Xenopus tropicalis: one gene and its partner. The protein of the gene in region 2 purifies or fractionates together with the protein of the main gene of each other region. This does not show direct contact. Links are inferred from orthologs where the notes say so. Each region holds a gene or a part of one and is shown on either strand. Other genes may lie near its edges.

Region 1 (6,756 bases), on a different chromosome or scaffold from region 2:
CTGGTGGGACTCTCTGAATGTTCAAAGATTCTGGTCTAGAATTTATAACATTATTTATTTGGTAACACAAATAAACTTGAGGAAAGACTCACAGAACGCTTTATGGAATGTTAAAATACCAATGTCAATAACCATACCCAGATCGCTGATAACCTTAATTTTTTTGGCAGCCAAAATTACAATTGCCAAATTTTGGAAATCAACCCAAATCCCCATCTCCCACTTTAAAAATAAAATGAACTGGGTTACAGTTAATGAAAGTCTAACTAGTGTACTTGTAGATAAGCATGAAAAATTCATGAATGTTTGGGAACCCTGGTATACTTATTCTTTTCTGAATGCAAATAATTTATCCTCGTTTACATCCTAGGCTAACTAATGAAATAACACTCAAGGTGCATATGAGTCAAAGTAAAGTTTATTTGGGTCATACATGAACCGTACTCCCACAGATGCTAACCGTTCCAATTTTTATTACAATATGGGATCTCAAAGGCAACATCACTTAAAGGTAACTGGATTTAAGCGCAAGAAAACCATCAAGTTAGTTGTTTTTTTTCCGTCTCTCTTTTTTTTCATTCTTTGGCCCCATTATCCATTAAAGTAGGACCTTCTCTTTCTTTTTTTCTTCTTCTTAAGCATATATGTTGTTTAATACGAAACTGCGTTATCTTGATATCCACTCTGTAAAAGTTAAAACACAAATAAAAATTATTGAAAGAGGAAAATGCAGAGCACAGCCAGACCTTGGACAAAAATGCCCCTGAATATATATGATCCTAATAATGTAATAAGCATTTTTAATCAGATGTCCACATGTCACATGTCAATGTGCATTTACAGGGCACTCATTATTTACAAGTGGTGACAGCTGGGAAAGGGGGTTTTGAACATTCCTATTTTTCACCTGAAAGCAGCAAAGGCTAAAAAGCTCCATCTACCATTAGCTTAAAATATGTGTGAGAATTAATATGGAAACCATTGCTTCCAACACTATTGTAAGGACTCACCTGTGAGAGACTTGTATGTAAAACAAGGCCTGTGTCCAAATTTAGCCTTTCTTTTGACAACTAAAGGGGGTTAAAGGGTTACCAGAGCAAAATAATGTACAAACAAATGTGACAGCAGCTGCAAAGCCTGACAAGATAAAACACAAGCAAGCAATTTAACAGAGAAGAAAGGGGTTAGCAGAGGGATATTCTGTGTGTCTGATGAGCACTGGGCTTCCCACCTAGTCAGTAAAAACGTATATGGTCTTTTTAACAAAAAAAATATTCTCAGTATGTGGACCTGAGAGTAAAAATTGTCCCTAGTGCGGGTCTTGTAAGCTTGTAAGGTCCACTGGGTTGGGGGTAAAAGCACTGTGTAATATGTTAGTGATATATAAATAAAGGATAATACAGGTATGTGATCCATTATCCGGAAACCAGAAATCCAGAAAGTTATGAATTACTGGAAGGCCATCTCATAAAGGCTCCTTATAGGGAGAAAATAATTGATCAGGCAAAAGGGAAAGTAGATACATCCACTGGGAACAAAGGGCAGATAATATAAAACGGAAATGAGTTCTGAGTTATCTGAGTAAACAGGAAGGGATTTAGCTTTAGGATTCACTTTATTGTAAGAATTTTGTAGCATGTAAAATGACTAGCTGCACAAATAAAGTAGGGAGAGTTCAGTGCATCCTCGAAAGGGAGAACATATACAGTAAAACAGCCATTGAACTTCAATATTGTCTACCTCCTACAGTGCCCTTGTGGAAAGCAATATGTTGGGAGAACCACAAGAAAGCTAAAGACGAGATTGGGGGAACATATACGGAATATAAAAAAGGGGTATATGAAACATCATTTATCTCAACACTTTGCCAAGGTACACAATAAAGACCCCAGTGGCCTTAAGTTTATGGGGATGAGCCATATGAAACCCAAATGGAGAGGAGGAGACTTAAAAAAGAGTCTCTCCCTGGAAGAAACTAAATGGATATATCAGCTGGGGACACTGGTGCCTCAGGGGTTAAATATTGATTTTCACCTGACATGCTTCTTATGAGTATTTTCCTTTTTTATATTAACACTTGTAACTGTGGCTCTAACTATTTATATGGGTTTAGGAATTCTGTATTTAATGTTTTATCTATTTATGTATATTTTTTTAAATTGGGCTTGATTCAGGAATCCTATATATAAGTCTTGATTTTTAATTTTATACTGAATTGATTACAATTCTTAATAGTGCATTCTGATTTTTGCATATCTGGAGTGGATGTTGGGGAGTGGATGTTGGGGAGTGCTGTGACTGGAGAAACTAGCTGAGAGCATTAGGACCCCGCAGGCACCGGGAGGAGAATCACATGGGAGGAAGGGAAGCAAGCTCTGAATCGGTATAGGGAAGGAGACTGCTACTGCCCGTAAACGTGGGATTTTTCTAAACTCAACGTAAGTTGCTTAATAGCATGCCGGTGTGTTTAGATGAAGTCTGTTACGCTATGAACTCTGATTATTTTGTTGGAGGGAGTGCAAGCGGAGGCGCAGGATTTACTTATACACCGCTGCATTTATACTGTGTGGTCTCTGGAAGTGAAAACCAACAGCCTGTTAATTCCACTCACACCTTAATGACGAGAGACCGTGTGAGAACTTTAAACATCAAATAAGCAACTTGTATTTATGTATAAAGTACTGGAAGGGTTTGAAATGGACTCAAAAGGGGTATTAACCCAAATCCCTTTTTCACAATAAGGGGTCTGAGTTTACTAATATATGGGCACTTTTATTAACCTCCTTGCCAAGTCTTAACATTTTGAGGTTCAGTTAAGAACAGATTCTGACACACACGGTTTCCTCCCCCTGACAGCTGCACTAATGTTACACACACACACACACACACGGCTCTGTCAGGCAGTGGCGGCTCCATATCGAGCTACTTCCTTATAAGGCCAGGCACTGGGGCAGGAAGCACTAGCAGAGGCTCACGGGTACTTCCCCCAGCCGGCTAGCAGCGTGTGTCTGTGAGAGGCTTGTAAGAGACAGGGAGCTGCGGGGTTTTATAGTGACAGTAATGTTATAGTAACCTTTTTCTCAACGTATCTCTTATTATTCTTGTTTTGTGCAGAATCGCTTACACTGCGTGTGCCCAGGGAGCGGCGAGATGCAGGTGAGAGGGATACGTCTCTTTACTCAGCAGTGTGTATGTAGGGTAGCGCCGGGGCTTGCTACTTGCACCCGAGGGGGGCAGGGGGCACAATAAATTATATAGTCTACCCGGGCGAAAAAAATGCGTTTGTGGATGTTGAGTGGTTGCCTGCTCCACAGTATAATAGGCTCTGTCCCTTTCTGGCTACACCTCCCGGCTATTATACATATGGGCTTTGTCTTTCTAAATTGAAATTACTGCTGCAACTTAAAATTAGCACATAGGCAAGTCATTTGCAGAGCAATAGAGGAGCAGAGTCTGACAAACAAAAAGAGATGTTGCCTTTACATAACAGAAGTTATGGATCTTAAGGTAGCCATACATAGCAATTTTGTTCTTTCCCACCCTCCACTGATGTTCAGGGCTGAATCATCAGATATGGAGGTAGAAACAATGGAAATTCTACCTCTTTCAGCCGATTCAGCCCTGAATGTAGATTTTGCTTAAATGGCGCCCGATCAAAATCTTTTAACCTGGCCGATCGACAAGTCGACTGATATCTGCAGCCTTTTGTGATATCGGTCATCTCATTGAGCCACCATACACGCACCAAATATCATTCGAAACGAGGTTTTGTACAATATCATCGATGCGTGTATGGCCAACTTTAGTGTGATTCTGTTCTAGACATACCAACAGTGGTGCTAGCAAATGTCCCCCTCAGTGTAGTTCCGTCAAGACCATGCAGTCTGCCCAGCTACATAATACAGGTATGGGACCTGTTATCCAGAATGCTCAGCGTCTGGGGTTTTCCAGATAAGGACTCTTTTCGTAATATGAATCTGCATACTTCAGGTCTACTAACAAATCATTTAACATTGCATAAACCCAGTAGGATTTTTTTTGCCACCAATTAATAATGATAAATTATATTTAAGTTGGGATCAAGTACAATACAGTGAAAAGGAAATATGTTTTAAAATGTTGAATTATTTTATGGAGTCTATAGGAGATGCCCTTTCTGAAATTCGTAGCTTTCTGGATAGAGGGTTTCCAGATAACAGACCCCTTACCTGTACTGTATTTGGTTTTAATGTTACTGGGTACAGTCTCCCAGAGCTCTCCTCATTTAAAGAAGAAAAATATTTTATTAGTATTGAAGAAGCAGTTAACAATTGCGCTTATTCTTTGATCTGTCATCTGTGGTATCATTAGTGGTTATGAATGTCCTTACCTTTTCCAGTCTTTGTTTTCAAGTTCTGCCACAAAAGAAAGTGCACTCCTTGGATTAGTATCCACTGTGTGGATTGTAACATAACTGGAAGGTAGTGCACACTGATTGGAGCTAAAAACCTTTATGTGTATACTGTTTTTAACATTTAAAATAAAGTTTAAAGGACAATGAAAGCTTAATATAAATTAAAAGTAAATCTAAAGGCATTCTTTTTAAGTATTTACTGCATATCTAAATTCCCAGATCCCTGCTTGCTTCTCTGAGATATAGTGCTGGCAGCCTACAGCAGTGTGAAGCCTACAGTGACATCACTGAAATCTCTCTGCCCTTCTTGTAGGCTGCCAACGGCAGCCTTCCTATTCTCTGAGCATGTGTGTAACTTGATCCTGTCTCCTGTTCTGAGCTACACATGCCCACCAGCCAATCAGAAGCGGATCTGGCAGAGGGGGGGGGGGGAGGGAATGAAACACATGTGCAGTATGAAGCAAGGAGGGAAGGGAAGGGAGAATACCTTTTTAGAGATGGCTGCCTGTTCTAGAAAATGTAAGTAAGTGTGACTGAGTAAATATTGGATTAGGTGAGCCAAAAGTGTGGCGTTTTTACTAAACAATAGGAGGACTATTGGGCAGTATGCTTTTTAACTTTTGACTTGCATTCTCCTTTAAGGGGAAAAAAGTGTTCTTTCTAGATCATTTAATGTTTTAAGACTCTTGTTTGGGTTATTGTTGCATTTTTTAAATTGACACATGCTTGTTTTAGGATCCAAACGCAGACACAGAGTGGAATGATATTCTGCGTAGAAAAGGTATCCTTCCTCCAAAGGAAAAGCCACAGGATGAAGAGGAGGAAGAAGCAGAAATTCTCCAGCAACAATCTGTTGGTGAGTTATAAGGGTACTAACAGAGAAACTCAAGTTTTCATTATGGTTTTTGGTGTTAAATGGGTTTATGTAATAAAAGACACTAACCTGCAATAGAATAGAGGCAAGCACACCCACATTTCAATGAGGAATTACATCCCTTGTATTTTCTGAGTAATGTTGTGATGGTAGATTCTTTTAATGCCTTTTAAGAGTGGTTTAGATGATTTCTTGAACAAGGATAATATCCAAGGCTATTGTGATACTAAAATATACAATTAGTATTGATGTTGGTATATATATAGTTTATGTATGTGAGTGTATAGATAGGTCGGTATGGGTATCTGTGTGCCTGGGGTTTCTTTAAAGAATTGAACTTCATGGAATTTGATACACATAAAATAGCCCATAAAACAAGCAGCAGACCAAGATTTCCTGTTTGGTGCCTTGAATGGGGCAGCAGCTGAACATAATTTGTCCACATGTTGGACATGACTGCTCTAGATGTCTATTGCAAGGTTTTGGAGAGTGCTGGACTTTATCTTTTAATAGTTGTTATTGATTGCAAGGTGATATTTAATACTTCACTTTTTTTTTTTTTTAGTAAAAACATATGAAGACATGACACTTGAGGAACTGGAAGACAATGAGGATGAATTTAATGAAGAAGATGAGCGAGCAATAGAGTTGTACAGGTCTGTACATATGTAACAGTAGTTTATAGCTACTGTATCTTATCTACTAAATACAGGCAATATACAGACATCCAGTAAGACCTGCATACACGTGGTGTTTCCACACTTTCTCAGGAGCTTTCACACATTAGGATTATATAATAAGCTTTAATTCCTCTCTGGTCCAGTGAGTAGGATGATCTACTGGTGTGACCTGTGGTGGTGTTTCCTGTTGACTTGCATAGAGCATTATCTTTTTTGTCACATTTAAATTGTAGTGTCTGCTAAACTGGGATAATTGCTAAAACACTGGGGGTTCATACATATTTTCTGCAGACATGTTGCACTATATTCTGGCTTTTGTGCGTTTCCTTGTAATTTGTAAAAGCCCATTCAGTGGGAAGAAAGGAAAGAAGCTGCATTCAATTGCTACCTAAGTACTGGGAAGAGTGCTGATCCCTTTCACATTTCTGCCATTCTAATTTTCCAACCTGGTGTTATATACTGTATTCACAGTGAAACATGAATTAAACTTGGCATATTTGCCATACATCAGGATATCTGGTTCTTTTGTGCAGGCGACATCCAGAACAGGGGCTGGATTTATTCTCTGTAAAGGATAAATATATATATTTTAAAGTTACTGGGCCTTAGTCCACTTTCATGAATAGAGATCCCTAGTGTCCTGTTCAATTAAATGTCAGTAAAACCATGATTTGAATCATATTAATATAATGGTGGCTAAATCTGAGTGTCAAAATTGATAATTCCATTTTAGCCTGTATCGACAGGATTCTGATTCAGCTTATTCTTTGTGCCTGGCCAAATTGAATTTACACCTTTTCTAATCATGT
Region 2 (6,909 bases):
CAGTTGGATTGACTAAATGACCGATCGTCCATGGTATGGAAATGATGGGGACAATAATTTGGAGCCCACACGGTCCGAAAATGGAATATATCATTGTGTGTATGGTCAGCTTTAGCAGCTTTTGAACAGCAGTGTATGCCCACCTTTAGAAAGCCAGGATGCTGATTGATTGCAGATACCAACAGAATGGACCGGACAGGACAGGATTAGAGAGACCAGACCAGTCTTTTTAAGAATAAAGCTGGCCATACACGCACCGATAATATCGTACGAAACCTCGTCTCGTACGATATTTGGTGCGTGTATGGCAAGTCGGCGAGTCGACCGATATCGCAGGAGGCTGCTGATATCGGTCGACTCGCCGATCGGCCCGGTTAAAAGATTTTGATCGGGCGCCATAGAAGACGCCTGAGCAAAATCTGCCGTCAGGGCTGAATCGGCAGAAGGAGGTAAAAATCCTATTGTTTCTACCTCCTTATCTGCCGTTTCAGCCCTGAACGTTAGTGGCAGATTTAACGATCTTTTGTGCGACCGATGATTGCACGAAAGATCACAAATCGCCACGTGTATGGCCACCTTAAGCTTGGCACATGCATGTTTATAAATTAATGTAAAGCACTATGTAAGTTGCTGGTACTATAAAAATAAATGATGATGATGAAGTGAAAGGAAAATCCCAGGAGCTGAATATGTTGGTAAGAACTGGAGTAAACACAGCAGAACAATGGAAAAGAGGCATAGGGTTAAGGGAACAAATTGTGGGTTTAGATGACAAGAGATGCTGCAGATAAGTCAGTTACTTCATCAAAACCATCAAGACAGGATGAAATGGTTTTAAAAAGAGGAAAATAATTTGGCTGTAGGGGTGTATCTTGTTTGTGGATGAAATCTATTTTGTTTTTCAAGTGAGGAAGTTGAGTAATACTATTGCTGAGTGATGAAGGGGATTTGATACAGAAAAGTGTAATGGATTGGATATGTTATTGCTTATGGAAGTTCTGAAGTAATCTTGCTTGGCATTTGAGAAAGCAGATTTGAGGCAAAAAAAAAACAATCAGTGGGCTGGGAAAAAGCAGCAGAAAGCTCTGCTGGGGCAGTCACAAGGATGTCTGTGATTATTGTACCATAAAGAACTTAACCATTTGCCATAGATTGCTGAGACCACTGAGTCTATTGTACTAGGAAATTCAGGATCCACTGTGTTATGAACTGCTAGGTGTCCGGGACCATTATATCATGTATACTGCTGGGGCAATGCTAATATTGCTAGGGCCACTGTGTCATGCATTGTTGTATTATATATTGCTGGGCCACTGTGTCATGCATTGTTGTATTATATATTGCTGAGTACACTTTGTCGTGGAATACTAGGGCTAATTTTTCATGAAATACTGACTCAACTGTCATGAAATGCTGGGGAGACTGTGTAGAAAAATACAGGATCTTCTATGCCAGAGGTAGTAAAAATACTGTCCAGTATTGGAAGCCACTGAGCCCTTTCATGCTAGAGGGGTCACTGTACAAATCAAGCATTATTTACACCGTTGGCCATCTTACATAGGTCTTTATTTACACCAGTTCTAGATCCATGTTATTATCCCTCTCTATCCCTGATCATCCAGAAAACACCCCATGACCCAGCCACGCACCAATGTCACCAAAAGCCCCATAAATGTGTAGCATAAACATAAGCTGGGTCAAACCCGGATGTCACAAGTCTTAAGGGTGAAGACGCACAAAGCTACTAGTAGCAGCTACTTGTCACAGATACAAAACTAGACAATGCTGATCATTTGCTGATAATTGTCTTTATGTGTTTTAGAAGAGGCAATTCTCACTATTGTCTATGGCAGGGTATTTTCTGGTATTTAGTAGCTGCTACTAGTAGCTCTGTGTGTTTTCACCCTAAAAGGTTAATAAACTCCATTTGGGGACACATTATTATTATTAACATTTATTTATAAAGCGCCAACATATTCCATAGCGCTGTACAATAAGTGGGTTTCATACATTGGACATACAGAGTAACATATCCCTCCCATATAGATTGTAAGTTCTACGGGGCAGGGACCTCCATCCCCTTGCATCTTTGACTCTTAACTTATTGCAACTGTATTTATCTTGTATCTATCTGTATTTATTGTTATACTTTGTATTTATCTATTATTACCTTAATAATCCCGTTTGTTTTAATGTATTTTACTGTACAGCGCTGCGTACATAAGTAGTGCTTTATAAATAAAGATATACATACATACATATAAAGCAATCAATAACCCATACAAAAGGTGAAGAGAGCCCTGGCCAAAAGAGCTTACAATCTACACATGCTTCCAAATGAACATTTTCCAGTTTCTTTTTTTAAATATGTTAAATATTAGCGCAACATGACTTTAGCCTCCCAGCTCCATGCCACATATCCTATCATTATATCTGCTATCTAAATCCTTATCGCTAAGCGACTCAATAGACTGCTATAATTTATCACGTGCTGCCCGCCATGACAACAGCCATAAATGGAAACAAAAGAGCTAGTTTAACGTCAGACCTCCGTTGCGTCACGTCATCAAAATGCACCCACTGTAGAGATGGGCAAAATAAAAACCAACAATAGGGTTTTCAGGGCTCGCTAACCATTTCAATGATGGCCGCCAACCCACCTTTCCGCTAGTTCACAGCCTTTCTAGCGCTTTCTACGCCCCGCCTCTCTGCCGTTAGTGACATCACTTCCTGATCAAAGCCGGCTGTAGCTGCGGCGTGCTCGGGTCTTTTATATCTGTAACATCAGCATCATGGTGAGTGCCTGAGTCTGTGGTTCTTTATTAAGCAGGCGGCAGTTATTTACAGTTCGCCAGTTGTCCGGCTGAGAGTTGTGTAAAGGAAAAGCTCTCCCATGCTATCGGACACGCTGTATTGGAGCGAACGCCCAGCGCCCCAAGTGCAGGATAGATCCCGTTTGACAGTAGTGAGGCAGCACTTATCCGGGCCTTTAGCTGGAAAGCAAGGTTTAGAGCGGGATGGGTATTTTCTCTGGGCCTTTAACGGATAATATAATATTTTTTTTTATATTATATGTTTTATGTTACTTCGTTTTTTTGGGCCGAAAAAAGACATTTCTGTAACCTTATAGAAGAGTGTTTAAAGTGAAGCGGAATTAGGTTTTACAATTAGCCAGGCTTGAGCATTATTATCCTAATGGCATGGGGTAACTTGACATTTCTGTTTGAGTGTCACGCCCCTAGGGGAAATATGGACTATTGGCCACCCAAGGGCTGAGGGATTTTACTCCTGGCAGCAGGGACCCAGGTTTGGCTATAGTGCCAGGGCCCCCCTCTGGCTAACACTGGCCCTGGTGGCAAGGTTGGCAGCCTAGGCAGTAGTTAGTGTAAGGCAGCGGTTCTCAACCTGTGGGTTGGGACCCCTTTGGGGGTTGAATAACCATTTCACAGGGGTTGCCGTATTTCCGATGGTCTTAGGAATAATTTAATGGTTGGGGGTCACCACAACATGAGGAACTGTATCAAAGGGTCGCGGCCAGGGCTGCCATCAAAAAATCACGGGCCCCTCACAACCAAATTTTCTGGGCCCCCTTCCTCCCACGACCTGCCCCCAATGCTCCCTCCCATTAGTACAAAGGACAAACAGCCAGGGCCCCCCTAAAACATTGGTAGCCAGGGCCCCCCAGCATCCTCCAGCTCACTCCAGCAATTTTCTGTGGCTCCCCGCTGCATCTGCACAATTCACCCCCATTGTCCTCCTGTGGCTCCCCCAGCATCCTCCAACTCCCCCCAGCATCCTCCAACTCCCCCCCCCCCCCAGCGACTTCCTGGATCCCCTGGATGCCTAGGGACTTAGCCAAATTGTATCTGACACCATGTGCCTACCCCCTTTGATATTAACAACAATCTGCAAGTGGGCCCTCTCACATACATATTTACACTAAGCATGTTACTAAATAAAAGGTTAAAAAAAACAGGGCTATATTTTATCAGCTCAACAGGTTACATTAGTTGCTTATAAAGGATTGTGGCCTCTCATGTTTTCATTTACCCTCTAGTCCGGTGCTGTCCAACGTTTGTGGTACTGAGGGCCGGAATTTTCTGACATATGTAGTGAAGGGCCTATAATGAAAGTCAGTTTTGGGCACTCCTTTTTAAACCACGCCCATATTAACAGACATTTTTTTAAGACCATATCCACATTAATAGTTGTAGCACACAAAGAAGACAAATGGTTGGTGCTTGCTGCAAGGATATCACTTATATGTGAAACACATATATTTATTAAGTCATATTAAGCTATACCCTTTAGTCCATATGACATCTCTTCCCCTGTGGATAGCACAGCAACCCCCAGCACATAATTATACACCTTAGGGACCCCTTAACAATTATTGCCAAATGCTAACAAACTCCCAGAACAAACCCCTGCCAAGTTCACCTTCCACAGGTAGGGCAGGCAGAGTATGGCACACACACACACAGGCAGGGTAGAGCAGGCAGACTTTGATACACACAGGCAGCAATAGACCTGAGGGGCTTACAGGTGTAAACAATGCAATGGCTTATTGCCTGAATCTGAGGTGTGAACAATGCAAATCACAGCAGCCAGACAAATACCATTAGAATGACAGGTGCTAAAAAGGCTAAATGTTTACAAACCGTAGCCTTATAGGAGTAGTATGTATTAAATGTGGCTTACCTAGAGAAAATGTTTTTGCAGCACTCTAGTTAAATACAATCTACCATTTAGGGCCACAACCACGGAACCGAACAGCTATGTGAATGACAGACTACAACAGTGCTGTCCAACTGGTGACTCCCCTCCCTGGCAGTTCAGTTACATAAATTATTTTCTAATTAACTTTTAAGTTGGTTTTTGCATGTTTTTTTTTTTTTTAATTATCACCATTTCTGTGTTGCCTATTTCTGGCCTGCAATTAAAAATAGTGTTTTTGGTTTTAGAACTGAAAACATTTTTACACTTCAGCTTAAGATTCATTATTATTCATTTTTTACTGCTGTCTTTTTTGTTTTACCTGCTAATATTCATCTTCTATTCTGACTAGTTGCTAGGCTAATTAAGCCTTAGAAACAAATTGCCTTTCAATTCCAAGTGTAACAGCTGACCAACACTAAATATTATAATTGTAAAAAGTATTAGGATTAAAACATTTAAATAACTTAATAATAATTTGGACTACCCTCTTTCAAGTGGCAGTATATCCCTTTGCCTTATATGTGGCAAGTCCAATTATATGACAGTTAAGACTGATAGTGATAGGCAGTGTTTGATAATATCTCTCACTAAATTCACAGTGAATTTACCAAAAAGTTGAGCTGTATTTTATTTTTGTGAAGCACAGAAATAAGACATAATTCTTGTAAAATTTTTGTTATTTATTTTACAGGCTTCCCTATCACTAGCACCCGTAAATATTTTCAAAGCTGGCGCTGATGAAGAAAAGGCAGAAACCGCCCGCCTAGTAAGTACAGTTATTTTGGCCAGGTGTAATAGTCTTTGCTGTTCCAATAGCTGTATTTTTCTGATAGATATGTTGTCTTTGTAGTCTTCCTTCATTGGAGCCATTGCCATTGGAGACTTGGTTAAAAGTACATTGGGACCTAAAGGAATGGTAAGTGTCAGTCGTCTTTTTAATGTAAGCCAGTCAAATAAATTGCCACTGGCAGTCTTAAAGTCCGTGGATGTATAAATATAGTATAAATATGCAGAAAAATAAGGTTCTTTGTTCACATGCATCAGAGATCCCCAACCTTTTAAACTCGTGAACCACATTTAAATGGAAAAAGTGTTGGGGAGCAACACAAGCATGAAACAGGTTCCTGAGGGTGCCAATAAAAATTATAATTTGCTACTTAATAGTCCTAATGTTAACTGGCAGCCTACAGGAGGCTCTGTTTGACATTATACTTGGTTTTTATGCAGCCAAAACTTAACTTCTTACTAGAAATTCAAAAATAAGCACCTGCTATGATGCCACGGGGAGCAACATCCAAACGGGTGGTGAGCAACATGTTGCTCACGAGCCACTGGTTGGGGATGACTGACTTACATTATCGATTTTGTAAAATGTATTGGTCGAAGCAGAGTAATATAATCTACAGTAGTCACTAGTTAGAATAGCCTTTCCACCTGAAAAACATAATTTTAGTGTCCTATAGACCAGTGGTTGTGGAACTGTAGTTCAATCCTTCTATTAGGCATGCTTCCCCTCATAGGTCATAACAAAGTCACAGGTAGTCTATCTGCTGTTTTTTTTTTTATAGCATAAATCTGACTGATTGACTCTTATGCTAGGCCATTCATGTGTATCTAGGAGAGCAAATAGGCATTCTTTACTAATATTAATCTTCCTGGCATTCAGACAGTCTCCCATGCTCAGCTCCAATTTTTAAAGACATAGGATCACCAATAAAAGGATAGATTTGGGGATGCTACAGCCAAAATTACATTTTGATTGCCTAACTGCATTCTAACATTCTACATTTTAACTAAAATACCAAAGCACTTGTGGGAGCACTTCCAATGCTAATTAAAGTATAGTTAAACTATTGTAGAAGTGTGATTGATGTGACTGAAATTGCTTAGCAACTTTATCGTTAAAAAAGTTTATTTAGCAGCCCATGTTTGAAAAATAAATTGCTTAGAACAGGACTGTGAGTAATATAAATAACTCTAAATTCACGTCGAATTTGTTTTTTAAAAACCTGAAGAAATACACAAATTAGAATAAAACCAATTACAAGTTGTTTAAAGTGTGTTCAGTTTTAGAGATTCAAAAGATATTTTTCCAAATTATATAAACGGAGATAGCAAGGCTTTTTCAATAAACCAGATTTTATTAGGAGGCAGGGAATTTAGTTGCTAGTTTTAATTCAACCCTGTGAT

The links. The genes of interacting proteins can lie anywhere in the genome.
Region 1: the proteins of cct2 (region 2) and pdcl3 purify together in Homo sapiens (co-immunoprecipitation; 3 studies listed by BioGRID and IntAct, with this or other methods). This does not show direct contact. The link is inferred for Xenopus tropicalis from reciprocal best matches to the Homo sapiens genes CCT2 and PDCL3.

Annotation. Positions count from the first base shown.
Region 1 is NC_030678.2:110,231,288-110,238,043, forward strand, and holds the start of pdcl3 (phosducin-like protein 3), read left to right. Parts: upstream 1-2,974; 5' UTR 2,975-3,021; intron 3,022-3,114; coding exon of another isoform or gene 3,115-3,150; coding exon 3,151-3,156; intron 3,157-5,128; coding exon 5,129-5,249; intron 5,250-5,832; coding exon 5,833-5,923; intron 5,924-6,756. UniProt on the Homo sapiens protein: Acts as a chaperone for the angiogenic VEGF receptor KDR/VEGFR2, increasing its abundance by inhibiting its ubiquitination and degradation.
Region 2 is NC_030679.2:59,104,274-59,111,182, forward strand, and holds the start of cct2 (T-complex protein 1 subunit beta), read left to right. Parts: upstream 1-2,733; 5' UTR 2,734-2,792; coding exon 2,793-2,795; intron 2,796-5,410; coding exon 5,411-5,485; intron 5,486-5,569; coding exon 5,570-5,635; intron 5,636-6,909. UniProt on the Homo sapiens protein: Component of the chaperonin-containing T-complex (TRiC), a molecular chaperone complex that assists the folding of actin, tubulin and other proteins upon ATP hydrolysis.